Drosophila melanogaster: one gene and its partners. The gene in region 2 interacts genetically with the main gene of each other region. Each region holds a gene or a part of one and is shown on either strand. Other genes may lie near its edges.

Region 1 (6,924 bases), on a different chromosome or scaffold from region 2:
CAACAGTGTGTATGTCCAAAGTATGGGCAACTATGGCCGCCACCTGGAGTGTGCGCAAACACGCAAGTCACTGGAAGAATCACAGAGTAACGTTGGTATTCTGACGGAAACAACTTCCAACGAATTGAGCATGAGAGCCAACATCAGCATATCTTCACCGCCCCCTCCCAGGGTATGCCAAAGTGGCTCCTGCTCCAGTCATCCACCTTCATCTCCCGCCGCATCACCACTTTCCTTGCAAAGCTCGCCCAACGTAAAGCGTGCTGCTTCGAGTAACGACTTGATGAGAGAGATCAAGCGACCAAACATCCTGCGGCGTCGCCAGCTTTCAGTGATCTAATAACCAATCAAAAAAGGCTTAAATACTTGGCTGCATTTTACGCAGCTAGCTTAGTATATTTCTTAAACTCAAAAATGGTAATTAAATAATGTTTAAATTATAGATATTTTATTAACTTGTTCAAGTAAGTTAAAAGCTTTTGCTTTTGTAAAAATAAAGGAATAACTGCCACTCGTAGTTTAAATAAATTTTTATTGAATGCCTATTTTTCGGCTTTGAAACTTGGTTCAAAATATTTGTGCAATTGCTTGTAAACGCGACCGGACACGAAATGAAACTTACACAAAACTGGAGACGCGTCAATGTGTAGTGCATCTCCTTCAGATTACACACAAGAGTTGGGCTTAAAGTGGAGTATACATAATACATACTGAGAGCGTACGACTTAGAGCTATTTACTTTAACGTTTCCTGGCTTATGAGTAAGAGTTAAGAAGAGGGAGCTACGCCGGCGATGGGAGCAGTGTTCGCCGGAGGAATTCCCCCTGGTGGCATTGCCGATCCCGGCGGTGCGTTGGCATCTGACACTGGACCGCTGCTTGGTGGTGTAGTATCTATGGCGGGAGTTGGATGTCTAAGTATTATAGTTTATGAATTGTTATCCGTTAAAGTTCTTACCCATGGGTGTAGGTGCTTGAGATTGCGCTGCTCCCGCTGCGACTGGTCCGGTTTGGTCGCTCGGATTCGTGACAATGGCCGTGGGTGCGCCCGGCGGGAGTCCTCCCGTGAGCGAAATCGGTGGCGCTGCAAAGGGAGCACCGTTGGGCGACGACACTACGTGCGGGGGCAACGGCTGGTGCTGGGCGGTGGGACCCGCTAGCGGTTGGGACTGCGGCGGCAACTGGTGCGGATGCGGAGGCAGCTGTTGCTGCTGCGCCAGGTGCGGATGAGGTGGCAGCGTTTGCTGTTGCTGCTGCGGCTGCTGGGCCTGTGGTAGCTGCTGTTGCTGCGGCAAGATCATTGATCCCGCGGCCGCCTGGCCTTGGAGCTCTTGCTGAAGACGATGATGTGCTTGTTGGCGCGCTCGGAACTCGGCTGCCTTTAGCTGCTCCAGGTGGAATTGCTGACGCTCTGTGATCAGCTGCTGACGCTGGTACTCCAATCCCTCGCGCTCTCGCTCCATGGTGGCCTCCAGTTCCTCAAAGTGGCGCAATTTGATCTCCAGCTTCTTCATCTGAGTCTCAACAAGGAGAGCCACCAGGGATTTGATCTTACGCTCCTCCAGGGCAGCCAGGTGTTTGGCTTTAACTGCTGCCGATGCCAAAGCTGCCGCCGCCGCAGTCTGCATGTTATTTTCGCTAAATGTTCCTTCCTTTGGCACCGCCAATGGCCCTGTTCCGGTTCCCGTTCCCTCTTTGGCCTCAGTGCCGTCCTTAGTTTCGCCATCGCCACTGCTGTCCTCCGTCTTGATGTCCACTTCGCCACCACTTGCGGCTGCTGCGGTTTCTGTGGGTGAGGATTTGTTTGATTTGTCTGACTTGATGGCTGACTTATCGCCCGAAGGCGAGGAGCCGGACGACTCCTTTGGTTTCTTGTCAGTGTTGTTGGTGTTGCCTGTCGCTGATGATGATGTGGAACTCGAGTCTGTGTTTGTGTTGGTCTTATCCGATTTTGTATTGTCTTTGGACTTGGCATCGTCTGTGGTTGTTGTTTGTTATTTGATGGTTGTGGTGTTGATGTAAGTTTGGTAGATTGGGCGCAACACAAAAACGAAACAATATACGAATACAGTGCCAAATGGTGAACAAATTGCGAATTTTGAATGAAAGCAACACAAGAGTTCAACAAGACAAACAAATGCAGAACCAACAATTGAGTAAATTCCCTTTAAAATCGATTAAAAGAAAACTCGCTCGACTTAGCGACTTTTCCCTTAACCAACATCCATAAACCCCCTTTACCGATCTCTAATGGCTTTGGCTTACCGTCTTTTTTGCTTAGGTCCTTCATTTCCTCATCAGAGCCGCCAGCGGATGCAGATGCGCCACCCTCCTTGCCCTCTTCATCGTCCTTGTCGTTTCCGGTTCCTGCGATTCCACTATTGGCCAGCCCAAAGTTCGGATTAAATTTACCACCTGCCGAAGCCTTCTCCACGTTTTTCAGGTGGTTGTCCATTATTGTAGCGGGCACCTCATCCTAGCATAAGTTTTACATTGGATGTTAAAATCATGGTTTAAACGTGACTAAAATGTAACTACCTTAATGGCTGCAAATTCCTCCATGGCAGCCTTTGCTGCTGCAGCGGCAACGCGAGGATCGACCACAGATGCCAGGAATGCGACGGTGGACATAATGGGATTGCCACTCTTGCTGAACGGAATGGGTTGGCAGGCCAAGGGGCCCAGGAAGCCACCATCATCCTCTAGATACGGGTCCTCGATGGGAAGTCGAAGGAAATGCAGAATGCACTCGTCTTGAGTGCGAGATCCAACGTGCTCGCAGACCTTGTTCCAGTCGTCCTTGTGCATTTCCAAGCCCTCAAGCAACAGCAGAGTCTCCTGATCGGTCCATTCACGAGCCATGCTTGCCGCCGTTCGATTCCTCATGGCCGCCGGCTTCTTTGCGTACTGATCCAGCTTGAGTCCAAACTGGCTCACTCCGGAACTTAATCCTCCGGCAGCGCCATTCTCTAGAGCCTCTGTCTTGATGCCAGTCAGACCACTTTTATCGCCCAACTCCAGGCCGCCATCTTTACCCAATGGCTTTTTGTCCAGATCCAACAGCGTCTTTGCCGCCGACGGCTGTTGCGTCTTTTGCGGATTTATGGACTGTAGACCTGATGGCGTATCCGAAAGAATGTGAAAGTGTGAGGTTGGTGGTGGACCCATAGGGGTGGGGCGGACATCCGCATCGATCTGGTAGTTAATCAGGCCCCATTGCTCCAAGAAGGCGTGTACTCGCATTATGGCGCACACATCTCCGGCAAGATTACGCCTACAAGCTGTGCTGGTCAAATACTCCGTCGGATTGAGCCTGAAATAGATGAGTAACATATTCAAAACTATTTGCTGCAAAAAAAATGGAGCTTCAACTTACCTGTACGTATCAATCATAAAATTCCTGTAGGCCATATAGATTTCTGGTGTCTTTGACTTATTCTTGCTGTTAAAGAATTCCGGCATGGCCCGTTTCTCGATCACATGAATGGAGTTGTAATCAAACCAAGCCGAGTACGAAGGCACGATAATGTGGTGCGTCTGCTCGGTCACATTGTCCTCCATATCCTCTTTGGCCGATGAAGAGAATTCCTGCGTGTTGCTGTTATCACTTGTCTTGCCTGTCTGCGAGTTTTCCCCATCTCCGGTAGACATGGCTTGAGCGGCGCTTCCTCCAGTCATTTCGTCATCCAGATCGGTCATAGTGCCACCTAGATATCAGTTTGTTTAGTCAATGCAGATATAAGATAACAAAACTTACCTTTAATGGGCATCATGTCGTTGTCGCCACGAGATTTACCGCCCGGAGCTGGACTGGCGGTGGACTGCAAGGCGGCATTTGCCTTATGAACCTCCTGAACATTGGGCTCGGCCGGCGGATCATCCAGATCGCGAGTTAAGTCCTCGTCATCATCGTCGTTGCGCGACTTTTTGTGCACCACGGCGGGAGAACGCTTACGCTTGCCCGGCTTTGAGGTGGATGCCGAACTGGCGGGAGATGGTGAACGGCGTCTCTTCTGCTTGCCTCCGCCCGAGCTGGCAGCAGGCTTCTTCTTCTCGTCGCCGAATGACATGATGTCGTCTATGGACATACGCTGTTTGTGCGTCTTCTTCTTGCCCTGTTCGTCAACCTCGTAGTCCTCCTCGGCCATCCACTCATTGTACTGCTCCAGGTCCACGATCCAGGATGCAGACACACGCCAACGTTCCGCCGGTGACTCGGGATTCTCCGGAATGTGATCGGGCAGGTCAAAGTTATTCACAGCCCAAGAATCGTAGGACTCGGGGAAGTAGTACCAATGCAGCATCACATGTCCGCCGCGCTTGAAAATGGGCCGCGCATACTCGTCGGGATGTGGGTCCACCACAGGATAGACGATATGGGTGGCGTCCTCCTCGTCCGACACAATCTCTACCCGTCGATTGTCCAGGATCTCGCGCAGTTTTCCCTCGAAGCCCTTTTCAATCTCCGGCCGAATATAGATGTACGGTATGCGATACAAGTCCGCCTCGACCAACGCCTGCTCAATCTCGATCAGCAGCTGGATGTTGGGATCCTTGCGCGTGGGATTCTTGCCAATGGAGAAGTCGAACTTCTTGCCGCGTTGCTCGGCCCGGAAACGGAACATGGTCGAGAAAATGATGCACAGACCACCGCCGCTCTTGAAGTCCAGAAAGCAACGCATCTGGTGTGGGTGGTACGATTATTAGAGATATGTTTTAATGTACGTAAATCATGTAGCTAAATACAAAATATAAGCTAGTGGTCCAAACATTTGGCCATTGGAGGATTAATATTTACGTGTACACACGCAACACGGGGCACCCTGTCCCCCTCACCAACCACAGGCACTATCAATACTAACCGGAATTCTGGTTGCCGGCGGATCCGCTGAGTTCTTGCCCAGCTTGGCTTCCACATACTGCAGGAAGTGAATGAGCAATTGGGCCAAGGACTCCTTCGTGATGGGCTCCGAACTGTGGGCCAAATACTGCAATAAATACGGTTGTGAGTAAATCGTTTTTTTTTCGCCGCCTGACAGCGCCATTTTTGTTTGCGGCGGCGTTGTTGTTGGCACGCACCTTCTTGCAGTTCTTCTGCAGCCACTGGCGAATCGATTCAAAGCCCTGCAGCGTCTCCGGCGACTGGAAAAAGTCTATATTCGGACTTCCGTCCTTCTTAGGACCCAGTGTGTTCATGTTGCGGCACTTTTGTGGACTTTTTGTCAATTATCTTTTCACTTTTCCACGCCAAAAAGCCAATAAACGCTGCGTTGATAAAATAGAGATGGTATTTAAATCGATGTTGTTGTGACAGTCGTTATCGATATTTCAGCTATCTCCACTGAAAGTTATCATTATTTTAATCTTAGGTTAGGTTAATATATAAACCTATTGGTTGGTGGAAGCCATATATTAAATAACAAGAAAACATATTGGCTGTTAAGAGAATTATATAGACTTCGAAAAAGTTATAGCTAGCTAACGTGTCAGTTAGCTTTACATCTCAGTGGGAACAAGCTATTATGTGAAAATTGCTGTTAAATTCAATAATGCCATCTGGTCACAGTGGCGGTGGTGCTGTATTGGCGTCCCGCTCGCGCCGCCTAAAAACCGATGCACCACGATAGTCAGGCCGCACATATAAATGCGACTCCATCGCGCTAACATGGCTGCTGGGAACCGAAAACTTAAAAATATTGTGCTGTCAGAGTGTGTTTGCATCAGCGTGAAGCCCAGTGTTAAGTTAAAACATTGACTGCCTACGCCCACCAACGACAATTGCCGTAAATCGAATTCTGCCGTTATTCGCAACGCCGGATTCCCATCCGTGTGTCCGTCGCGAGTGTGCCAGTGTGCGTGAAAATAAAAAGTCAATGGTGCGTGAGTGCGAGTGAGTAGGAAGAAAGCAAAAGCGATTGGATTGATTTGTGACGCTGCTGGCGAAAAGCAGTACCCAGTACCCCTTTCCTTGGGCCAAAACACACACATACGTACGGCTATAGTAACTCAGCATCGATTGTACAGTTTGAGAGCAAACAATTCAATTAGAAAATGCAGAGCGCATGAGTTGAATTGTGAGTGGGCGCCCCACATAAGCTGACTGCTACCGCACAACGAAGGGAACTAGAAAGAGGAGTGCGTAGTGCGGAGAGAAGAGCAAATGCGAAGCGAAGAGGAAGAGAGCGAGAGAGAGCAACCATTGCCAAAGGTAAGTGATATAACACTCGGAGATCGGGAGTGGGAATGCGAATAGGAACATAAGGAACCCCTAAATTCTTATCCTAGATTGCAACATTATTTATATGGCAGCAACTTATCGCTTCCGCTTGCTTGTGTGCGTGCGATAGAGATAGATAGAGTGGGGCCAAGGGGCTCTGTTTATTGATAAGAGAGGAGAGCGAGCGAGAGAGAGGGAGAGAGAGAGGAGGTGGGCGCCAACGCAGCAAAACAGCGGAAATCCTTTACAAAAACTTGGTCTACCACTAGCTCTTTGTCTTCGCCTTCTAGTCTCTCTCATCTTGGCAGCCCGTTCTAGTGCGCGTATTTTTAGTCGCAACACATTGCCCAATTCGCCAGCCGCTATTTGTGTCGTCCATTTGTTCATTCATCGGGCTCTTTTTCCGATTTCAGTGGGTGGCATTTAACAATAATCCCTGCGTTCGCTGTCCACGTCCACATTACGATACGTTTAGTGCACGGAAAGAAATAAGCATGTGGTTTCATAATATTAGCTATTGAAAAAAGTTCTTAAATTTAAGCCTCACTCGATTCTGATGCATGAAATATTATTGGATTGTAAATGAGCGTCATGTTTTGGTATACAAATCTCAAAGTAATTTAAAAATTCTCATCTTACCGTACCTTGAACCACTACCAATCATCTCAGTACAGCATTTCAGCGAATTTCTCACTGTGCACTACAATG
Region 2 (7,821 bases):
GATTTGAAAAGTTTGTATATAAAAAATATATCCCGGTGTTTTATGTAGCGATAAACGAGTTTTTGATGTAAGGTATGCAGGTGTGTAAGTCTTTTGGTTAGAAGACAAATCCAAAGTCTACTTGTGGGGATGTTCGAAGGGGAAATACTTGTATTCTATAGGTCATATCTTGTTTTTATTGGCACAAATATAATTACATTAGCTTTTTGAGGGGGCAATAAACAGTAAACACGATGGTAATAATGGTAAAAAAAAAAACAAGCAGTTATTTCGGATATATGTCGGCTACTCCTTGCGTCGGGCCCGAAGTCTTAGAGCCAGATATGCGAGCACCCGGAAGCTCACGATGAGAATGGCCAGACCCACGTAGTCCAGCGGCAGATCGGCGGCGGAGAAGTTAAGCGTCTCCAGGATGACCTTGCCCGAACTGGGGCACGTGGTGTTCGACGATGTGCAGCTAATTTCGCCCGGCTCCACGTCCGCCCATTGGTTAATCAGCAGACCCTCGTTGGCGTAACGGAACCATGAGAGGTACGACAACCATTTGAGGTATACTGGCACCGAGCCCGAGTTCAAGAAGAAGCCGCCAAAGAGCAGGAATGGTATGATAACCGGCGGACCCACAGACAGCGCCATCGAGGTCGAGGAGCTGGCGCAGGATATTAGATATCCGAAGGACGTTGACACATTGGCCACCAGAGTGACCAGCGCCAGGCAGTTGAAGAAGTGCAGCACTCCGGCCCGCAGTCCGATCATCGGATAGGCAATCGCCGTGAAGACCAGTGGCACTGTGAGAAAAAGCGGCAATTCGGCAATCGTTTTGCCCAGAAAGTATGTGTCACAGCGATAAAGTCGACTTCGGGCCTCCCTCATAAAAACTGGCAGCTCTGAGGTGAACACCTAAATCGAATCGATTCATTAGAAAGTTAGTAAATTATTGAAATGCAAATGTATTCTAAACATGACTTACATTTATCGTGGCAAAGACGTTTTGAAAGGTCATGTTGGTCAGGAAGAGGAAGATGGCTCCGTTGATATTCATCACACCCACTTGCGTGAGTTGTTGGCCCAAAAAGATGAGGCCAATCAAGATGGCAACCATCTGCAAATTAAAATGTTACTCGCATCTCATTAATATTCGCGAGTTAAATGAAATTTATTTATCTTCTGCAAAACTATAAACTATACATCTCATTGAAAAAAACTAAGAAGGGTGTGGAATCAGGCAATTCTATCTAAAATCTAGCGAATTTGTTTCCAAGAATTGTAAGCGTTATATCATTTGTTTCCACTGGAACCACTCACCGTTGTCTGAATAAGTCGCACTTTTACGAGGAGTGGTTCCTTGAGCACCGACAGCCAGGATCGCCACAGGACCGCCCGGAACTGCATGAACCAGGTGGCCTTGTAGGTGTACCCATTCTCCGGCTGCTCCAGTGGCTTCTCCAGATTTTTGGTGGCCAACAACTGCTCCATATCCCGGGCTACTTTGCTAATGGCAAAATTGTCGCATATCTTGGCGATCCGATCACGGGACTCGATCTCCCGTCCGGGCACAACGGCCAACACCTGTACGTAAAAGTCCGCCGGATTGTAGTTGGTAGGACACTGGGCACCCACGCTGGATAGGAGTTGAGATGTTATGTAATACTAGATACCCTTAATAAACACATCGAACTCACTAGGAAAAGAAGTCGACGGCTTCGCTGGGAGTGCCCAAGAAAGCTACCCTGCCCTCGGCCATCAGAAGGATCTTGTCAAAGAGCTCAAACAGCTCGGAAGACGGCTGATGAATGGTCAGGATGACGGTCTTGCCCTTCTGCGACAGCTTCTTCAGCACCTGGACGACGCTGTGGGCGGTAAAGGAGTCCAGTCCGGAGGTGGGCTCATCGCAGATCAGAAGCGGCGGATCGGTTAGAGCCTCGGAGGCGAATGCCAGACGCTTCCTTTCTCCGCCGGACAGACCTTTCACCCTGCCGGGCACACCGATGATCGTGTGCTGACATTTGCTGAGCGAAAGCTCCTGGATCACCTGATCCACGCGGGCCACTCGCTGCCGATAGGTCAGATGTCGTGGCATCCGCACCATGGCTTGGAAAATCAGGTGTTCCCTGGCCGTTAGGGAGCCGATAAAGAGGTCATCCTGCTGGACATAGGCGCACCTGGCCTGCATCTCCTTGGCGTCCACAGGTTGGCCATTGAGCAGTCGCATCCCGGATGGCGATACTTGGATGCCCTGCGGCGATCGAAAGGCAAGGGCATTCAGCAGGGTCGTCTTTCCGGCACCGGAACTGCCCATCACGGCCAAAAGTTCGCCCGGATAGGCCACGCCGCAAACTGAGTTTCAAATTGGTAATTGGACCCTTTATTAAGATTTCACACAGATCAGCCGACTGCGAATAGAAACTCACCGTTCTTGAGCAAATGTTTCCTGGGCGCCGGTATGTGTCGCTCGTTGCAGAATAGTCCGCGTGTCCGGTTGACCAGCTGCCGCCATCCGGAGCCCGGCTGATTGACCGCCCCAAAGATGTCCATATTGTGCCAGGCATAGGTGAGGTTCTCGGCTAGTTGGCCGCTCCCTGAACCGGAGTCCTCCGGCGGACTGGGTGGCCGGAGCGTGCCGTAGTTTTTGGCCTGCCCGAAGCCCTGGTTAATGCAGCTCTGCGAAGCCGCTCCGCTGTCACCCTGCAATGATAGGGGATCTCAAATATCAACTACAAGCGTTATGCTCATCTAACCCCGAACAAAAAGTACCCCGAAGTATCCTACGAAGTAGGTTTATACTTTTATTTATTTTTTGTGCATCTAGAAAAGGTTTCAAGCTGAAAACTTTTCAATTTCACGGCGTTCGTCCATAAAAATGAAGGCGTCTGTGCATAAATCTAGCCCAGCCTGGCCAATCCCTGCTCCGCCGTCCCTGTTTCCGGGCACTAACCCCCCCCCCCCCCCTCGGCTTTATAAAGAAGGAGCCCATCTGTTTAATAAAAATGCCCAAGATCCGAGTTTTCCAAGTTTCCCAAAAAGGAGATGGCGAGGCCTATTTAAAATGTGCAAATTAGGGCTGGCACTTGGTGGATGGCCTTGAAAGTGGGCGGTGGACGGTTGACGGGGTCACAGGTCGTTGGGCGATGGACGATGGGGCGATGGGACGATGGGTGGTGGCAGTGGCAAGGTTCCTCCACCATGTTGCCACCTCATAAGACAATTGCGAGTGTAAATCGCTGGCATCTTTGGCTTTCGTTTGGGGACTTTGAGCTTCGCCAGTTTTGTTTTTATTAAATATAAAACTTTAAGGATACTTTGGCTTTTTTTGGGTGGTGGGAAAACTCAATCTCTTGTAGATAAGTGCAATGAGCAGTATAAAGCAGTCCATTTACTTGATCCAATTATGTTGAACGCAATAGTGTTCAAACTACTACTTCTGCAATTGAGTTTAAGTTTATAAATCCGAAATACAAATTCTTATTTACGTTATTTTGTTTACGGGTAAAGTGATTTCCAAAACCACTGAGCTGTCAGTTTTCGCCCAGGTGGGGCTTCCCTTTTCGAAATGGCGGTAACCGAAGACGTTTGCGGTATGGTCAAATCAAGCCATCCTCCCCGCCCCAACTTTTCGCCCCATACCACTTCCGTTCGCGCATATTTTCATTTTCATAAACAATTTTCCGTTTTCCATTTGTGGGGTTTCTTGCCATCGCAGCGGCCTGCGGCAAAGCATAAATAACAGGGATCCACTAATTGGCGTCGAGGCAAAAAAAAAAAAAAATGGAAAAAACAAGACAAAATGATGGCCACAATATGGAAAGCATTTTATCCGCCGCTGCTCTCATAATAATTTGTATAAATAATCATAAAAAAAATTAAGCAAAAAAATGCAAGCAAATGAGAAAGGCAAAATCCGAAGAAGAGGGCCAAATAAAAAGCTGACATTCAATAAAAGCAAGAAAAAATAATGTCCACCTTGCACTCAGCGCCTGGCGGTCCTTGCTACAGTGAGCCCTGCTAAGAACTTTCATTTTTTGAACTATTTAAAATTAAATTTATTTTTCAAAACGATTGGGGGATTTGGATTTATCGTTTACATTGCTACATATAAAATCTAGCTAAAAGACCAAAGCCTGAAAACTGTTGCATTTCCTCCTTAGCGAGGCTTCACTGCTCATCTTCTGCTGCGATGCTTTGACAGCTTATTCTTCTAGCCACTCAGTGTCCAGTTTTTGGCCTGTTACCAAAAAAAAAGCACAATTGGTGACGTTACGAGAGGTAGACGCGAAAAAATGTAATATCCGTTTTCAGGCACTCCTCGAGCAGAGCGAGATGGCCATATGGCTGGGAAAGAGATAGAGGGACATGGCGAAATTGTTTTCACAACAAATGAGGCCGAAAAATGTTATTAAAAAGTTTTCTTTTCTTTTCTGTTTTCGCCGTCCCTTTCCCACTGGGTTTTCTTATCTCCCTGCCTCCTCTGGTTTACTCTCCCACCTTTTCCCTATTTTCGTATTTTGTTGAAATAAGTAGCGAAAGATGCTACATTTCATATTTATTTAATTTTTTGGCTTACTTTTTTTTTTATTTACTTTGCGTGCTATTTTTGAATTACTTACGAAATACGAAGGAAACTCGAGGAGTGGGCGCTAGATGGCGCTGTGCAGGGAGGCGAAGGAGTATCGTGATGAACTTGACAAATTGAAATGACTGAATAAAGAAGCGACTCAATTTGTTGTTCCTCCCGTTTTGTCGATTGTGCGAGTGGCTAATGAGTGCACTCAAAAGTCATTCACTTTGATGAGAACGAAATACTGAAGGAGGCGCAATTATTCAGCGGAAAAGCTGACGACCACTCGATATTATTAAGGAAATATCAGAGCGTAAACGGCCCAATATGTACATATATGCAACGAACATATAATTAAAGATGGCTTCAAATATTCCATACATATCATATTTTTCAATACTTTGTTACCTTTACTGCGTTACTTACTTCCCAAAAGAATTAAAGTTCTTATCTCCTTGTATAACTTTTTGAGACTTTTCAAAATTGTTTCAAAGAGCCCGGGGCTAGATATGCAAATCGTACTCACTTATTTATTTTGTTATACAAGCCGAGGTGCTAAGAATTTAAAGCAAGATACGCACGAAGATACCTAGATATCAGATGCTGAGCCCAAAGCATTCGTCTAGCCAAATAATGACCCAGATAAGACTAGATTGTACATTTTTCGTCGAGCGAGACGTGCAAACAACGAGGTATTAAGATCAGGTAGAAGATGCGAGTACACAACCAGAAATGGATACGGATACAGTATCTAGTATCTTGGCAAGCCTAGAGTTATAGACACCCAGCAATGTTGTTGGCCAACTTAAGCCGACTCCTCCCACGCCACCACTGGTTATGCGTCCCTAATTACGATCTACTACATCCAACTATTTGGGGTCGATGTATAATGTAGTGTAGTGTAGTGTAGTGTAGCAAGAAAATATTTGAGAATGAAAGGTGGAAGAAATGAGGACTTCATGGTAAGCTTAAAATATCTGGTTGTTATATTTTTTGTAAAAAAGAATATAGTCGAAAATGAATGCCTTTAGATGTCTTGATCATGATATGATCTCAAAAATTGTCTTATATAGCGAGAACAGCTACCAGAATAATCTGTTTCGTGTCACTATTTGTTTGTGCAATTGCGGTTTGGGATTTTTGTGGGTCGCAGTTCTCACGCCGCAGACAATTTGATGTTGCAATCGCAGTTCCTATAGATCAAGTGAACTTAAGATGTATGCACATGTACTACTCACATTGTTCAGATGCTCGGCAGATGGGTGTTTGCTGCCTCCGCGAATTAATAGCTCCTGATCCTCTTGGCCCATTGCCGGGATTTTTCACACTTTCCCCTGCTTACCCACCCAAAACCAATCACCACCCCAATCACTCAAAAAACAAACAAAAATAAGAAGCGAGAGGAGTTTTGGCACAGCACTTTGTGTTTAATTGATGGCGTAAACCGCTTGGAGCTTCGTCACGAAACCGCTGACAAAATGCAACTGAAGGCGGACATTGACGCTACGTAACGCTACAAACGGTGGCGAAAGAGATAGCGGACGCAGCGGCGAAAGAGACGGCGATATTTCTGTGGACAGAGAAGGAGGCAAACAGCGCTGACTTTGAGTGGAATGTCATTTTGAGTGAGAGGTAATCGAAAGAACCTGGTACATCAAATACCCTTGGATCGAAGTAAATTTAAAACTGATCAGATAAGTTCAATGATATCCAGTGCAGTAAAAAAAAAAAATGTTTTTTTTATCTACTTTCCGCAAAAATGGGTTTTATTAACTTACATACATACTAGTGACAACATGTTTATGTTTAGCTAATGTGTTCCGTTCAAAATAATTAAAAATTCGACCACCTTTGCACCAATATGATAGTACCCCACCTGGGCAGTACTCATAAGCTGAGTGGCTGTCTTTGAATACTGATTAGGTTGAGTGGGAAGCGTCTTCTTATCGTGAATAAGAGAGTTCTTGTTAATCCGCCTGTTGTCGTCCCGTTTCGGGGGTTTGCACTGTACTTTGCATGCATGATTTATCAAACGGCGACTGTTGATGATGCGCATTCCGCACTCCCCGTTTCCCGTACGCCTATCCGCACCCGTACTTCGGACACTCCGGTCGTTGTCGTCATCGTTAGCACCTCATCTCAGGCCCCGGAATCATGAACTGCCGCCATCAGCTGTCCGGGCATTATCAATCTTCATCATCGGGGCCAGTTGGTCCAGGATATGGATCTCGACTGGGACGGGTTTTCCGGGAGGCTATCAATACCATTTTCACGGACGATGTGGTAACAGGTTAGCAGTTGCAGTTGCCGAGGAATCTGCAGGAATTAATTTGCTGACGACGATTAAGTGGTCTTCAAATGAATATGGTTTTCTTTTGAGAGTTTAGCTCAGAATAATAGCTTTTGATTCGATTTGCAAGTTAATTATGCATATGCATGTGATATTTGTAGAAGTCTCACTCAGCACTAGTAACATTATTTCATGTGCCAGTTTTAATGCATATATGTTCTGCTCTACAACAGCTTCAAAGTTCGAAATAAATGATTTTCCTATTTCACTGAAGATCTTTAGCTGACTCAAAGTTAGATGTATGTACGATTCGTAAGAGACTTCCTTTGTGGGCCGATCTAGCGACAGACAACAAAGAAACGTCAATGTTTCACTCATTTTTGCCAACTAACCGAGTTTTTCGCTCAGTGACACTTATGGGGCTTCTTCGATGTTGGTTGAGTGGAGCTCGAATCGGGTTTAGACCGTCTTGAAGTTCGTGTTCGTGTGTGTTTGCCATTACTAACTCACTCAAATGCTGTAAACTTTTTGCACTTAACAATTTATTGTCACTCGCCTGTCGCAGCAGCGAAAGAGCTGAAAAATGGCATTACAACAAAAAGTGCTTAAAACCGATTATGAAATGCTCTAAGGGAATGCTGTAATTAATTAGTTTGCCGTTTTTATGCGCTCTAAATCAATAATAAAGTTAATTGCATACGTATAAGTATGCAGTTCATTTTTTTTAGAGTGGCCTTAACTTGATTTTTGCTTATTAGCCCTGCAATTGAACATTTTTTTTTGCCCTACCTTTGGGATTCTTTAAATTGGTTTGCTATTCCACAATGCAATGCAATAACACCGTATTGAAAAGCGAAAAGGAAGTAACTTGAACTGAGGCGTAGAAAGTTTTTTTCAACACACACTTTTATACTCTCTCCGCACAGTCACACCTACATACATATGTATATATATATATATATATATATATATCGGC
Region 3 (7,826 bases), on a different chromosome or scaffold from region 2:
CCGCGAGAGCGCTTCGTCTTGGGATCCTTCATCACCACCACGTCGACAATGTTGCCCCACTTCTCGAAGTGAGCCTTCAGGCCATCATCTGTGGTGCGGTAGTCCAGTCCGCCGATGAACAGTTTGCGCAGCTGCTCTGGCTCGGTGATCTGCGGGTGAATTTCAAATGCATTAGCTAAAGACGTTCTATAATTTAAATAATTTCTAAAAACAAAAAAAAAACCCATTGATTCGAAAATAAGTTGTAATATTAAATTAAATTAATTGATTTCTTTGGACAAACTTTGCGAAAAATGTATAAATTTATATAATAAAAAAAAAAATCATACTGTATCTAAATGAATAAATGTATAAAAAATATTTAAATGTATAATAAGTTGCTGTAAATTTAATAAAAAAATAAGTTGCTGTCAATAAGTCAATAAGTTTATGTCAATAAAACGATAAAAGTGCAAAATCATCCTTGATCAACAAGGATTTGCCATTGTTTATAATAGTAATTTACCTGGCGAGAAAAAGCCGCTCGCCATATTTTTTTTTTTTTTTTTTAGTATTTGCACCGCCATGACAGCCCGTATATGTGTATGTATGTATGAATTTTCGTTTTCTTTTTTATCAAACAGCCGGCAACTTTTTTATCGGAAATTGCTTATATTTCTCGCCAAAAGAGGTCGATAAACTTTTAGCTGGCTAAATTCGCACAGGGATCGATGGCCCCCATAATTCGGTAAAAAAGCGGCGTGAATGTATATTATACACGAATATTGTCGGCGTCGACATTTTGCACTTTCACGCGCGATGAACGATTTACAAACAGCAATTGGTCATTCTGCAACTCACCTCTTCACCATCGTCGTAGTTTCCGTTGGAATCGTTTTGTTCCGCCATTCTCTCCTTGGTTGTTCAAGAAGATGGAAAGTTTAAACACCGAACGCAGGAAATATTTTTTTTGTTTTTGTTCTTTTTTGACGGCAGACTGGCAATAAATGAAATGTACAGCACGCACAATGAGAATGGAGTGAGCAGTATGACCAGGTGTCGAGAACGGGGTAAAGTCGGAAAATCGGACGCCACGTGGAATCGGAACGATTGTTTCGGTGCGTTAGGGGTGTTCCTCGACAATTAAGCTGATGCCACACTTGATTTTATATATCTTCATATAAATTTGTATTCGTCTAGTAAGGGCTTAAAAATATTAGACAAGTTTATTGTATATATTTCTGAACAAACGGATTTGAATGTATTATCTTTATAAATGGATTATGATAATTACTACCACGATAACCCAAGAAACATTTAATATGTTTAACTTTTTAGCTAAATATGTATTATTATTAATACCGCTTACATAACTCTTTCTGCGAGCATTCGCTTTAGCTGGGGCGATGGAAGGCTTCACTTTAAGAGATAACTTGTAAATTATTTTGTATTGAATTGTATATTTGTAAGTAGCCAGCTAAGGGTCAATCAATATTACAATTACGGGATCTATGAGGCATTTGGGAATAAAAAAAGACATCGTGCGAAATAAATTAATAAATCCAGAAACATTTTATGTATATCATCAAATCAGAAACGTTAAAAAATGCTAATGAGTGCTTGCTAGCAGATATCAAAATAAAAAGGTTGTTAACAGTATATTCAAATGCTACTACTAAGTATATTTAATGTTTATTCTTTTCATAGCGGAACACGAACAGCAACTGGAATACCCTTAACGCAGCGAAACGCATTGCCCGCCCAAAATATCGATAGGCGAAAAAGTATCGTTCCATTCCGCCTTTGGAATGACTGTCAAACATCGCTTTCGTCTGTCACTTTCACTTCCGTTTGTGTCGAGTCGCTTGCGTTTTTTCGTGTGGGAAAGCCTGAAAAAGAGAGAGTACGGCAGCGACTTAATTGTAAATTTGCCACAAATATCCTTCACTGAACGGTACGTGCTAGTGAGTACGCTTAAGTGAAGAACAGCGCGTATTTCGCGTTGTTAAATTAACTCGTTTTTGCAGCGGTTCTGTACACCCGGTACATTGCGAGCGTGTGTGTGTGTATGTGGTGGCCGCCATCTTGGCGAAACATACACGGCGCGTACATATGTGCGTTTTTTTTTTCTTCCATTCCTAAAGGACAGTCGAGCAAAATAGAAGCTGCAAACTGCAACGGTTCCCTTGCTGATATATATATATATACTTCACTATTTTATAGCACCTGCTCCAGATACGTAAGGAACCGTTATCATGGTGGGATCTCGAGTGTATGTGGGCGGTCTGCCCTACGGAGTGCGCGAGCGCGATTTGGAGCGCTTTTTCAAAGGCTACGGCCGCACACGCGACATCCTCATCAAAAATGGCTACGGCTTTGTGGTGAGTACAAAATATCATATTTAACTGGAATATGTAAAAAAAAAAAATCGGTTAAATTTGATTTGAAGACATTTCTGCATTTCTCTGTTTGTCTATAGGTTTCCTAACATTTCAAGCCGACCCTTGAATACTTTTTTTTTCTTTTTGAACCTATATTTGTTCCATCATTTGTCTGTCAAATACAGTGACGCTTAAAAACTGTTCTTAAATTCACCCAGCGTATTTCCATAAGAGTATGCACAGGCAGGGTAGCTTCAATACTAATTCCATAATCAATACTAATCACTAATTGAATTTTCAGGAATTCGAAGACTATCGTGATGCCGACGATGCCGTCTATGAACTGAATGGCAAAGAGCTGCTTGGCGAACGGTGAGTTGTTAGATATAAGCCAAAGTACGAAATGACTCACGATTGTATGTTCTATATTTTTGCAGTGTGGTTGTTGAACCCGCCAGGGGTACCGCTCGTGGCAGCAACCGCGACCGCTACGACGATCGATATGGTGGTCGGCGGGGGGGCGGGGGCGGTCGTTACAACGAAAAGTAAGTAGTACTGCCAGCGGACCTTAAAACCGGACCAAAGTAGCGACGATATCGTCCTCCAACTTTGTTTGCGTTGAAGTTTGCCCTAGAATTAGCACTGCCAATTTGTTTCGTTTGATATCTCCATCCACACAGATGCAACCAGCTTAGATCGTGCAAAATCTATATACCTATAATATTAGCTACTTGCGATATATATAAAAAACATCAGTTTATTATATATTGACTTCTATAGTTTTATACACTTTTGGTAGTGCAATCGTATAAGCTGATTTCTTCTGCGTGGAAGGGAACCAAAAGACACTGACTTGCTGTTAATATTATCATTTCCAAGACGCTCCGTTTTCCTATGCATACTATTGTTGCTTTTATTTGCACGTTCCACCCATCCGCATAGTATGTAAAATGTTTGATTTGTTGCGCATAACCCAAATGTAAATATGCATATGCTGGAATATATTCACCATTACCGTTAATTTTTGTGATGGAGCATCAGGAGCAGCAGCGCAGTGTCAATACTAATTAGCGAATCCATTCAATTATTCACCAGAAACAAAAATTCCAGATCATCCTCTCGTTATGGCCCACCGTTGCGCACTGAGTACCGACTGATTGTGGAGAATTTGTCTAGCCGCGTTAGCTGGCAGGTAAGTGAGCATGGATCGATGTATCGCGCCTTGGGCGTGGTATATACTGTAGCTTAGATTCGAGGAGTGTAGTACTAGAATTAAAACGGCTAACCGACTGAAATGGATCACTATTACAAACACCCATTAATCAACTTACCCATCCCAGAACCAACCTTTTCGAGCCCCTTTTTGATTTCGAATTACTTTCCGGTGTCTTCGTCCTGTTTTGTGTTTTAACTCCTCCTCCACTCTGACTAGAGCCAATTCTATAATCTGTAATCTAGCCCTAAGCTGTACAGTTGACCTAGACTTAAGTGAAACACGAAAACAAAAGATATTGCTAAAACCCTGGTACTGATCGGTGTAATCTACCCACCATTACTTTCTCTTGCACACACCAACCGAAACCGATAATAAAAAGAGTTTGATGTGCTTTGACTGAGAGATTCCCTCCTCGGCTTGGGGCCGAATCTAAAACTGAAAGAGAATCAAATCTAATTGAATCGCTGTGAGAAAGACAAGCTAGTCTAGTGACCGACCGACCGGTTCAGAATGTTACCCAAAAACCAAGATGCGGTGGAAGACAGAGTGAGACAGTACCCAGAGCCGCCCCAGATTGGTTTCGATATGCGAACTACGATCTGCAACCTACGACCGACCTCCACGAAGCGCCATCGCCGCCGCCTCATCCATTCGTCGTCTATTCCAAATAAAACATAATATAGAACACATAACGAAATGAACAAGTCGATCAGAATCGAACCCAAAACTGAATGCAAAATCGAAATCAGAAAGCAGACGATGACGATGGACGTTGATGAGCTGCCCGGGTCAAAAGGCCAGCCCACGTATTAAAGCCCACACTGATTGAAAAGACGTGGGCTGGCCTCTTGCGTTAGGTATTTAACTCTCTGCTAAAAACATTCACAATTTTAATTACCAACAATATTATATAAAGAATTGTCAAATTCCTTATAGCCATTGTGAGTGTGATGAGGGTGCGAATCGAATCAATCGAGTGTGGTTAGATGAGAAGCTTGCGTTCGCTAATTCTAAGATGATGTGATGGTCTTGGCGACGATGAGGGATGAGCATATGACGATGATCGATCGATGACGATGACACGATGCTGCGATGCTGGTCGCGCGTTCAGTTACCAACTTCGGCTAGTGCCTCCGAACTTATTCCTTCCCCCCATTCCCGGTTCTTCTGGCTTCCGGCTGCGGCTCTGGCTTATGGCTGCGGCTCCGGCAAACGGCATACGGCTACCTGCCCCGTCTCCGGCTGAGACTACCGACTAGACAACCACCAACCCAACCCGTTGGAGAAGCGAGAGCAGCGTCCCGAAACGTATTTCTTATTTTTGCAGTTCGTTTGTGCGTGAGGTGCCGATGCCGCTGGTTGTTGTCCGCCTCTGACCGGCAAACTGCTCCAAATGCTCCATTCTCTGGCTCTCTGGTGCGGTGGTTCTGGCCAGCGATGTCTGCTCTGATCTGATCTGACCTCCTCCTGACTGTATCCGGTGTGTGGCTTCCTCCGAAACGAAACGAAAACAGCTACCGCAACACTTGAATACCTTTTTGCCATTTATAATATGATTCTGTTGTACATGAAAAACATAACAAAACTGTGTACTTGGTGGTACGTACGTGGCCAAATGAAAACGAATACCAAATCCAAACAAACAAAACGTAACGAGCTCTGGCCATCCATCCGCTCATCCGCCTGCCTGGCCACTGGTTCTCTTCTGGCTGACTGGTTGAGTTAACGATGTTCGATCGGACTTTCGATGAGGTCATGAGGTGTCCTTGGTGTCATTGGCCCACAGTTACTAGGCAGACAATCTAAACTCTCGGTGTAGAAACGATGTGTGTGTCCTCCTCTCTCTGAAAGCGCATTAAGTAAGAATTCAATTACAACTATTTTGTTAACTTTAATTTATTTCCAAACCAAATCAACTCAATCTATATATATATATATATATCTACTATCAATTGCCAACCACTGTTAACTATGATTGTTTACGCTTAAGTTTTGTGCCGCGTGCAGCGTGGAGTGTTTGAATGTTGTGTTCGGTACGTTCTGGGCACCTCCTCCTTCTTTTTTCCTGGCCAAGCGAAATCCTTCGTCCGGAGTGAGGTTCTCGGTTTCCACACGTAGGCAGGCGCGACAAGAGCACAGGATAGACGAACACAGGGCACTGAGTGAGAGAGAGAGAGGGACTTGTGAGAGGCTGGGACTTGGTTAGGAGCCCCAAATAATACCGAAAACATTCAAAATGCTCCATCTGCTGCACGGGCTGTCCTTTGAGTTGCAACCACTGCCGTCGGATGTGCGATGTCGAAATGTGCGAGACATCTGCCAAAGCTGAAACTTACTAATTACTATCTTTTCGTTCCGACTTTGTGCGTCCCTGCAGGATCTCAAGGATTACATGCGCCAGGCTGGCGAGGTCACCTATGCCGATGCCCACAAGCAGCGTCGCAATGAGGGGTATGTTTGAAAATGGTTGAAATTATTTTACATACAACCAACTACAATTGTGTTCCTTTGCAGCGTGGTTGAGTTCGCCTCGTTGTCGGACATGAAGACGGCCATTGAGAAGTTGGATGACACCGAGCTAAACGGCAGGCGGATCCACTTGGTCGAGGATCGTCGCGGAGGACGCAGCGGTGGTGGCGGCGGCAGCGGACGTGGACGCTCCCGTTCGTCCAGCTCCCGATCGCGCTCCCGATCCCGCAGGCGTTCTCGCTCTCGCCGCTCGTCGCACTCGCGCTCCAAGTCTCGCAGCCGCTCCAAATCTCGTGGCGGACGCTCCAAGTCCAAGTCGCCAGTCAAGTCTCGTTCTCGCTCCCGCTCGCGATCCAAGTAAGTAGAGAGAGAATAAAGTCTGGTAGGGATCGTACTTAATCACAAATTCTTTGTGATATATGCTTTAATATTAATATTATATAGATTTTACACGATAGAAAATATTAATTACGATCCTCCCTGGCTTTTTACTTCATATGATTGCCCACTAATTAATTACTTCACTACTTCCGCTGCAGCAAATCGCGTGACGTGTCCAAGTCCAAGTCAAAGTCCCACTCCCGCACCCGCTCCCGTTCGCCCAAACGTGAGCGTGACTCCCGTTCCCGATCGCGGTCCGTCTCGAAGCGCGAGTCCCGTTCCCGCTCACGTTCCAAGTCCATCCACCGCGACTCCCGTTCACGGTAAGTTTGGCCACAGTGCGATGACCATGGCTCCATATTATTATAGACCGTTCACGATTCTTTCTTTCGTGCTTTCTTTGGTTTTGTTTGGATGCACCTGTTTGTAGCCCGCCAACGGTGGTCGTTCAAAAGCTCGTTCTATAGTTCACTACAATGCCTTTCTTTTGCAGCGATCGATCCGCATCGGCTGAAAACAAGTCGCGTTCGCGCTCACGCTCCCGTTCGGCCTCGCCCAAAAATGGAAACGCCTCACCGGACCGCAATAACGAGAGCATGGACGATTAGATTAGTTAGCTGTCCCATTAATATTAAAACACTTGATTTTAGACTTCTACTATAACTATTCTACAAACATCAACACTCAGACACCCCGACTACAACCAAAACTTAATGAATATGAAATCATACCAATCCACCACTGTCGGGCCTCGTCATTTTCTTTTAAATATATAACGACAATTTGTCCTAAGTCTTGTTGTGGACATGGGACATTGGCTGGAAGATGACAGGGATCGGCTGAATGTGCCGATTTGGATTCAAGGAGTACATATAGGCCACGAAATTACTGCGACTTGTACACCGGAACACTTAAAATTGTCTATACAATGAGTAATTTCAATAAATACGGATAAATTTAAACTATAAATGTTTGCTCGCTGGTTTCACTTCAAAAAGGATATAAAGTACTTCGACGATTTTAATCATATAAAGTTAGTTTATTGTTTTTCTTTTTTGTTGTCGTAATTTCGGAATATAAGTATATTACAAAGTCTTAGTTTCACTATTTCGCATTATTTGCCTGAATTAAAATTACAATTTCATTTGATTTTATTTATCTTGAATTTGAAGAACGCCAATGATAATTTTGACACCTCATTGGCTGAAATATATCCTAGTTAAATATTTAAAATTTGAAAATGAATTAGCAATCTAAAATCAAATGCATAACTAAGTTTTATAAACTGACAAAGTTTTGGTTCTAACAATATATATCGTTTGTGTTTTGCTTTTAAAGTAATTACTTGTACGAATTAAGTACACTATTATATACAAAGCACATAGGGATAAAAGAGATTT
Region 4 (6,061 bases), on a different chromosome or scaffold from region 2:
GCGGCTGCTGCTTACCGATTCACTGGCTCTGACGGAAATTCCAATGGAATTTGGCATAATTTACATATCTCCGAGTGCTTGGGCCAAGCGGGCCAAATGCATTGGACACGGTGTACAGGAGTGCGTGTGTGTACCCGATTTTCCGTTTATTTTCCGAGTGCTCCGTCTTTCACCGAATATCCGCACTTTTTTCCCAGGCCCGATTTCTGGGCCGCTGGGCGAAAAATCAAAAACGGCGCGCGTGTCGTACCGCTTGCTACATCCACTGATTTGACGCGCGACCCACGCACTTGCAACACGCGACACACGAGCACCGGGAATCGAACGTCGAGAGTCGAGAATCGAGGAACTGGGGGGCTATGAAGTTGGTTTTTTTGGGGGCACCGAGGGATGAGGGGGCAACTAAGATGAATGTCAATAAAAATGATTCTGCTCTGCACTGCAGTTGGCCTTTTTTCAGCTGTACCACCGAATTCACCTCTTGGCTTTCTGTTTTTCTCCCCGTTTTTTTTTTCGGTCTGTCCCGAGTTACTGTGATTCAATTACAAATCCCAGACGAAAGTCCTGAGGATAGGAGCGCCGGGAAGTGGTTTTCTCGCCACGCGAAGAATCCGTACTGAAGATACAGATATGGCCTGCGAATTGGCAAGTCAGAACTCGCCACAATTCATCTCGCAGCATGGCTGCTGCGCAAAATCCGGGATCTGCGCCTGCGCCGCTCTCCCGCGCTCTCTCTCTCGGACTTTCTCTCTGCGACTGTCTCTCCGCATTCTCCGTGGTGGGTATGTGTGTGTGCCACGCTCGTTGGAATGCTATAAAAAAGGAAACGTTAGAATGAAATGAAAATGTAGCATAATTTATGACTGCATCGTCTTTTAAATAATTGCACGCACACACACCTACGAACCTACACCCTGCCCACCGCCTTAAATATTAACATCCACTCACCTAACGACCGACCGCCTAAAAACACCCGAGAATCCTAATGGCCATGTAAATATGCATTTTTTTATATTCCATACGACTTTTTAAAATGTCTTCCAAATTGGTTACGGGTCAATGGTGTTTGAACGTTCCAAGAATGAAAGCGATACGAGAAGATTTACGAGGAAATTTGATAAACAAATCATGAGCAAATAATTGTCCTGCTGTCTGCCCAAATGAATAGTTGTCAAATACTTAAGAACTCTACTTTTTTAATTGGTATTGCAGATAAAGATCTTAGACGAACATCTCTATACTCAAATATAAAGGACTGCGTTTTTAATAGTATTTTATTCAAGCTTATATTATACAAGTGAAATTGAACCCCTAATCTTAGCTATTGCAAGCATGAACTACTTATATTTGGCAAATTTAGTGATGAATTTACCTTAATGTAAAACCACTTGATAGGCAATTGTTCTTCATTTTTGGCCACTTGCTAAAGCCACTTCAGATTAACCAGCTCAGATAGATGAAGCCGATTTGAAATCAGTTCGTATGCCTCTAGAGAACGCGTCGTTGTTGTCATTAGCTTTTCGAATATGGAAATGGGTGGGTAACTAAGAGACTAGGAGGTTGTCATGCACTACTAGAGAATCAATGTTGGCGAGAGAGATGTGTGTTTCCCAATCAAAGTTCCACGTTGTTCAAATTGGACCCGGAGGAAGTGGGCAGATCGACGTCGCTTGGCGGCACAAAAGTGCCCATGGTTAGGACGCTCTCCTGCTTGGCACACAGTTTCAACATCTCGGATTTAAGTTTGTCCAGTATGGCGTAGTTGGGTTGGTTGACTGCCGCCTTGCTCTGCAGCACGGTGATCTCCTGCTCCTCCAGCTTCTTCTCCTTGAAGGTCTTTATGGAGTTGTTGCCGTAGAGGCGCAACAAGGAACCCCAGGTCTGGATGTGCGGATGCAAAATCTGACGAAAGGTTAACTCAATAGCTATAAGTAAAGTTATAAAGAAATATCAATGCTCACCTGGAGGATTGCTTGCGAAGCCAACTGCTTGCCCTCCCGCTTGTTTTTACACACCACTTTGGCAGTATGTTTGCCCACGGTCATGGTAAACTCGTTCTTGTTATTCGCGGTGCGGTTGATCTCCTGGCTGATCTGAACATCGCTGCCGTAGTTGCGCTGCAAGCAAGTCAGCAGAATGGCGTTGGGAGATGGCTCCGTCGTCTTGTTGCAGAATTCGGTGACTCGGGGATCTTCGATGCGGATGTCATCGAAAACCTGCAAGAAATATAAAAATAAGAAGTGGTTCCATTTTCTATAGGTAGATTGCTTACAGACAGATCGCTCTGCGCTTTCTTCGCAGTGCCGCTCTTTTGGTCCTTATTGTTGCCCGTTATCTTGTCCTTGACATCGGGAATGAGTATTTCCAGCGTTTCCCGAGCCGCCTCTGACTTGGCCTGCTTTTTACTGGTGCCATAGCCCGTGCCATACTTGAGATTGTTCACCGATACGGTGGCGGAGTAAGGCGTGGCTGCGTTTTGGAGCTCCTTGAACTCATAGGTGGGCTGCGTTTTCAGAGCATGCTGCACGTACTCGTGCAGGATGCAGACGAAGCTCTTGCCATTGGGATTCATGATCCACTCCTTCCGACCGCGCGGGTTCGTTGATCCTTCGCCAGCATTCGCTAGTATTGGGAACTTAATAAGCTTAGTGCCATCCGGCAGCGTGGGTCGTTGAATATTCTTGATGTGTTTGCGGTTTTTGGTGAACTTGCGGCGAGCATTCCAACTCCGAAATCGCAGCACACGAATCACCTTGAATTTGAAGAGTTTCTGGCAGTAGGTGTTTAGTTGCTCCGGTGTAATGGATTCCTTTTGGGTATTCTCGTTGACCGTAACAATTTTAGCAGCCGGCATAAGGGCAGTTATTCCATCTGGTTGGGTTTTGGAATCGGTGCTGCCTTCGTTGTTCTCTTTTCCCTCCACGTCCATGGCTTCGGCCGGTAAAGCGGAAGCTCCGGCCATGGGACATACAGCCACTGGCGGCGCTCCATCCGTCTTTTGTTGCTCCACCTCCGACTCTTCCTCCAAAGCCCGCCTGTAGTTAAGACAGGGGATTGCTCCCAAGGGCACTGCATGCTTGCGGGCACTTCCAGTGCCGAGAAAATAGGGCCTCGATGCGCAACAGACGCGAGTTTTGCGATGCAAGAAGAGCGGCATTCCACTGTTGTGGGTCACCTGCACCCATCCCTCGGGTAGGACTTCAAAGTGGTTGAGGCGCTTTTCTAAAAGAGTAGTCACATTAAAATACTCGTCATCTTGGACACTTGGTTCGACGAAAAGCACTGACCTTCCAGCACAGTCTTGAAACGCTGCTCGTATTTGGGCTGCTTTGACTCGCGGAGCTCTTCGGGCAGCTTCTCGTCCAGCAGATTCTCGATCTCGTCATCATCGAATTCCGAGGAATCGTATTCTTCGCCGTCACCATCAGCCGCCTCTTCCTCCTCGTCGCCTCCTTCTCCATACCTTCCGCCCTGCTGCTCGCTAGCGTTGTCTGGTTGCCATGTAAGGAGATACAATCACGGATAAATAAGTTGTCTGTTTGTCTGGGAAATGGAAAACCAGCCGCGAAGTTGATGGCCATCTTCACGGAATATTTGAATGAATGCCATTGGCACCTAATTGTCTAGCTCTTTGATGTTTAATTAAAGTGATCCTTCATTATTACTGGCTCTACCTGACGCAACTGGACAAGCCAGTCGGATAATGGGTATCATGCGCATGGAACTGTCCGCACAAAACTGCCACCACCTGCCTTACAATAAGATAAAGGAAAACTGAAGCTGCTATATCAGGGTTTAACCTGCCGGCTGACTCTTTTATCAGCCTCCTGTATTTGCACAATGATAGGCCCCCAAGATCTTGAGATAAGAACTGCGCCTGCACTGTGAAACAAAAGGTGGTAATTGCACAGCCTGTGATCTGGATGACCTGAGTGAATATCCGAGCTTCGTTTCCGACTCACCTGACTCATCATCCTCATCGCTGCCAGAGCCGACTTCGTCGAGAACCTGGAACTGTCGCAGTTGCTGGTCCATGGGTTCGTTCTGCAGCTCGTTGTCCCTGGTCCGCCGCATTTCCTCGATGGCGCTCAGCGAAAAGCCGGCCACCTTGAGCTCCTGCTCCTCGTCCTCCAGCCGGGGACGCTTGCGGACCTGCCCAGAGTCCGGGCAGTCGGCCAGCGGCTTCTCCGCCATTGTATTGGATGTGTGTGTCTAAAGCGGGAGGGGTTTAGTGCGGACTGATCGGAACTGTCTAGTAATGCTGTCCCGGGGCCAATCTCGCCAATAACCAATACTGAGAGCATCCAACGCCTTGCAATTGATTTCTCATTGGAAGTGCCACATTGGTTAAGCCAGAAGCCCCGCCGGAAAATTCTGCGACTGCACTTTCGCGGATTGTAAACGATGCTACTTGCTGCGTCTTTCGCTATGGATTCTGCCTAATTGTCGGACAAAATCCCAAAGCAAAAGCTGCGCAATTCAAGTACGAAATCGAGATTTTAGAGAGAGGATGTTAGTTGGGAAAAATAACCAAACAAGCGAAACAAACACCACATGCAGTTTTGCGGAAACAGATTGACACTTTTGAATTGGGGTTAGTGATGGTTCCAGGTATTATCCTCCGGAGAAGAACGTTTGGTCTTAGGATCTATTGTAACAGCAGCTCCAAGCACTTTTCTACTGATTTTGCAAGAAATTTTGCAATTTAAAGACGCCCCCTAATTTATTTAGTGCAAGACAGTGTGACCAGGCTCATGACATTTTAAAATGCTGGCTACTCCCCAAGCCGGTAAACAATGTTCGAATTTAGATTTTATTATATTTTAAAACATAAAAATAATGTAACTAAAAATTAGTGCGCAGCCTAAGTAAGGTAATCTCTATTGGCCATTTTGAAAAAATCAGTTTTTATTCAACACAGCCATATTTGAACATATTCCATTTTCGATTAATATTAAGTGCATTGAGTATTAATCCGAATATCAGATCGGGGATCCATTGATTTTTAGTACAGTTTATCCTAAGATCCACTTTTTCCTAGTAAAGCCTCATCCTTAGCCCCTGTCTGCATGCCGTTACTGGCCTTCACGTCCAGTTCCACAGGATTGTCCAGTGCCGCCTGGGCGCTTGAAGTGTGGGCGTGACCTTTTGAGCGATAGTGGGAGGTCAGGTGGGAGCGGCGAACGAAGGAGACTTGGCAGGAGTCGCAGCTGAAAAACAGATAAACAGAGTCAAGGATCCTCAATAAAACTTCAGGTAACTAAGATCTTACTGGAACGCTCGCACTCCGGTGTGACTCAGCATGTGCGTGCGGAGTTTTCCGCTCATGGCAAAGCTTTTATTGCATTCCTTGCACGTGAAGGGCTTGACATTCGTGTGGCGCCTGATGAAATGGAAAGTGGTCAGAAATATGTGAAAAGCATTAGACGTTTCATGAATGGGAACGAGTTCTGTCGTACATGCGTTCGTGCTGGATGCGTCCGCTGGCGTTGCTGTAGGTTGCCTCGCAGTAGCGACACTGAAACAAAGCATTCCCCGCATGCAGTTCTTGGTGGCGCCGCAGAAGCGTAGCAGTGTAGAACTGCTGGGAGCACTGGTCACAGGCAAAGCTCTTTACGCCGGTGTGTCGGAGGAGGTGCAACTTGAAGTTGCTGGGGCAGGTGAAGTGCCGGCCACACTGCTCGCATATGCAATCCCGCTTGCGTCGCTCCCGCTTTAGGGCCACCACTTCGTCCTCGGTGAGTCTGCTCCACTGGGTGCGCGTGGCCTGGCTATTGTCCGCAAACTTAACGGAGGTAAAGACTGTGGGCGTGGTCTTTGTACTTCTGCGGAGCTTCTTCTCCTGCGCAGGAACCTTCACTTGGGGCTGCTCGTTCTGCTCACATATTTCGTACGGCTCTTCCGTCTCTTCCAGCAGGTGTTCCTCGGGTAGAAGGTCTATAACCTCGATCTCGGTGACCTCTTCAGCGTACTGAATCTCCTTCTCCACACCAACTGCGAAGGATTCGATCAATTCCGCGTTCCCCAGGTTGGGACTTTCCTGCAGCGTTTTTTGGGTTCG

The links.
Region 1: of w (region 2) and mor, changing one enhances a phenotype caused by changing the other (phenotypic enhancement), as found in Drosophila melanogaster (3 studies listed by BioGRID).
Region 3: of w (region 2) and B52, changing one enhances a phenotype caused by changing the other (phenotypic enhancement), as found in Drosophila melanogaster (2 studies listed by BioGRID).
Region 4: of w (region 2) and pasha, changing one suppresses a phenotype caused by changing the other (phenotypic suppression), as found in Drosophila melanogaster (2 studies listed by BioGRID).

Annotation. Positions count from the first base shown.
Region 1 is NT_033777.3:15,967,618-15,974,541, forward strand, and holds mor (moira), read right to left. Parts: upstream 5,297-6,924; 5' UTR 5,196-5,296; coding exon 5,079-5,195; intron 4,988-5,078; coding exon 4,862-4,987; intron 4,682-4,861; coding exon 3,757-4,681; intron 3,707-3,756; coding exon 3,376-3,706; intron 3,313-3,375; coding exon 2,538-3,312; intron 2,476-2,537; coding exon 2,265-2,475; intron 1,978-2,264; coding exon 958-1,977; intron 894-957; coding exon 769-893; 3' UTR 517-768; downstream 1-516. Other genes in the region: Rbf2 (Retinoblastoma-family protein 2), read left to right, coding at 1-340.
Region 2 is NC_004354.4:2,790,444-2,798,264, forward strand, and holds w (white), read right to left. Parts: upstream 6,024-7,821; 5' UTR 5,866-6,023; coding exon 5,794-5,865; intron 2,686-5,793; coding exon 2,412-2,685; intron 2,338-2,411; coding exon 1,683-2,337; intron 1,622-1,682; coding exon 1,306-1,621; intron 1,103-1,305; coding exon 971-1,102; intron 901-970; coding exon 286-900; 3' UTR 156-285; downstream 1-155. UniProt on the Drosophila melanogaster protein: ATP-dependent transporter of the ATP-binding cassette (ABC) family which transports various molecules including bioamines, neurotransmitters, metabolic intermediates and second messengers.
Region 3 is NT_033777.3:13,659,500-13,667,325, forward strand, and holds B52 (B52), read left to right. Parts: upstream 1-1,811; 5' UTR 1,812-1,943; exon of another isoform or gene 1,944-2,202; 5' UTR 2,203-2,234; coding exon 2,235-2,360; intron 2,361-2,661; coding exon 2,662-2,732; intron 2,733-2,797; coding exon 2,798-2,905; intron 2,906-3,455; coding exon 3,456-3,552; coding exon of another isoform or gene 3,553-3,609; exon of another isoform or gene 3,610-3,955; coding exon of another isoform or gene 3,956-3,976; exon of another isoform or gene 3,977-5,953; coding exon 5,954-6,027; intron 6,028-6,090; coding exon 6,091-6,402; intron 6,403-6,584; coding exon 6,585-6,749; intron 6,750-6,856; coding exon of another isoform or gene 6,857-6,893; exon of another isoform or gene 6,894-6,919; coding exon 6,920-7,034; 3' UTR 7,035-7,392; downstream 7,393-7,826. Other genes in the region: Hrb87F (heterogeneous nuclear ribonucleoprotein at 87F), read right to left, coding at 1-149, 841-888. UniProt on the Drosophila melanogaster protein: Essential for development. May have a critical role in splicing or in controlling alternative splice site use of at least some pre-mRNA in vivo. Not required for all splicing. May play a general role in the condensation or decondensation of chromatin.
Region 4 is NT_033777.3:31,616,671-31,622,731, reverse strand, and holds pasha (partner of drosha), read right to left. Parts: upstream 4,305-6,061; 5' UTR 4,195-4,304; coding exon 3,963-4,194; intron 3,744-3,962; exon of another isoform or gene 3,721-3,743; coding exon of another isoform or gene 3,675-3,720; intron 3,492-3,674; coding exon 3,288-3,491; intron 3,223-3,287; coding exon 2,273-3,222; intron 2,217-2,272; coding exon 1,962-2,216; intron 1,903-1,961; coding exon 1,615-1,902; 3' UTR 1,373-1,614; exon of another isoform or gene 1,258-1,372; intron 813-1,257; 3' UTR 515-812; downstream 1-514. Other genes in the region: CG1792 (uncharacterized protein), read right to left, coding at 5,021-5,210, 5,273-5,383, 5,460-6,061.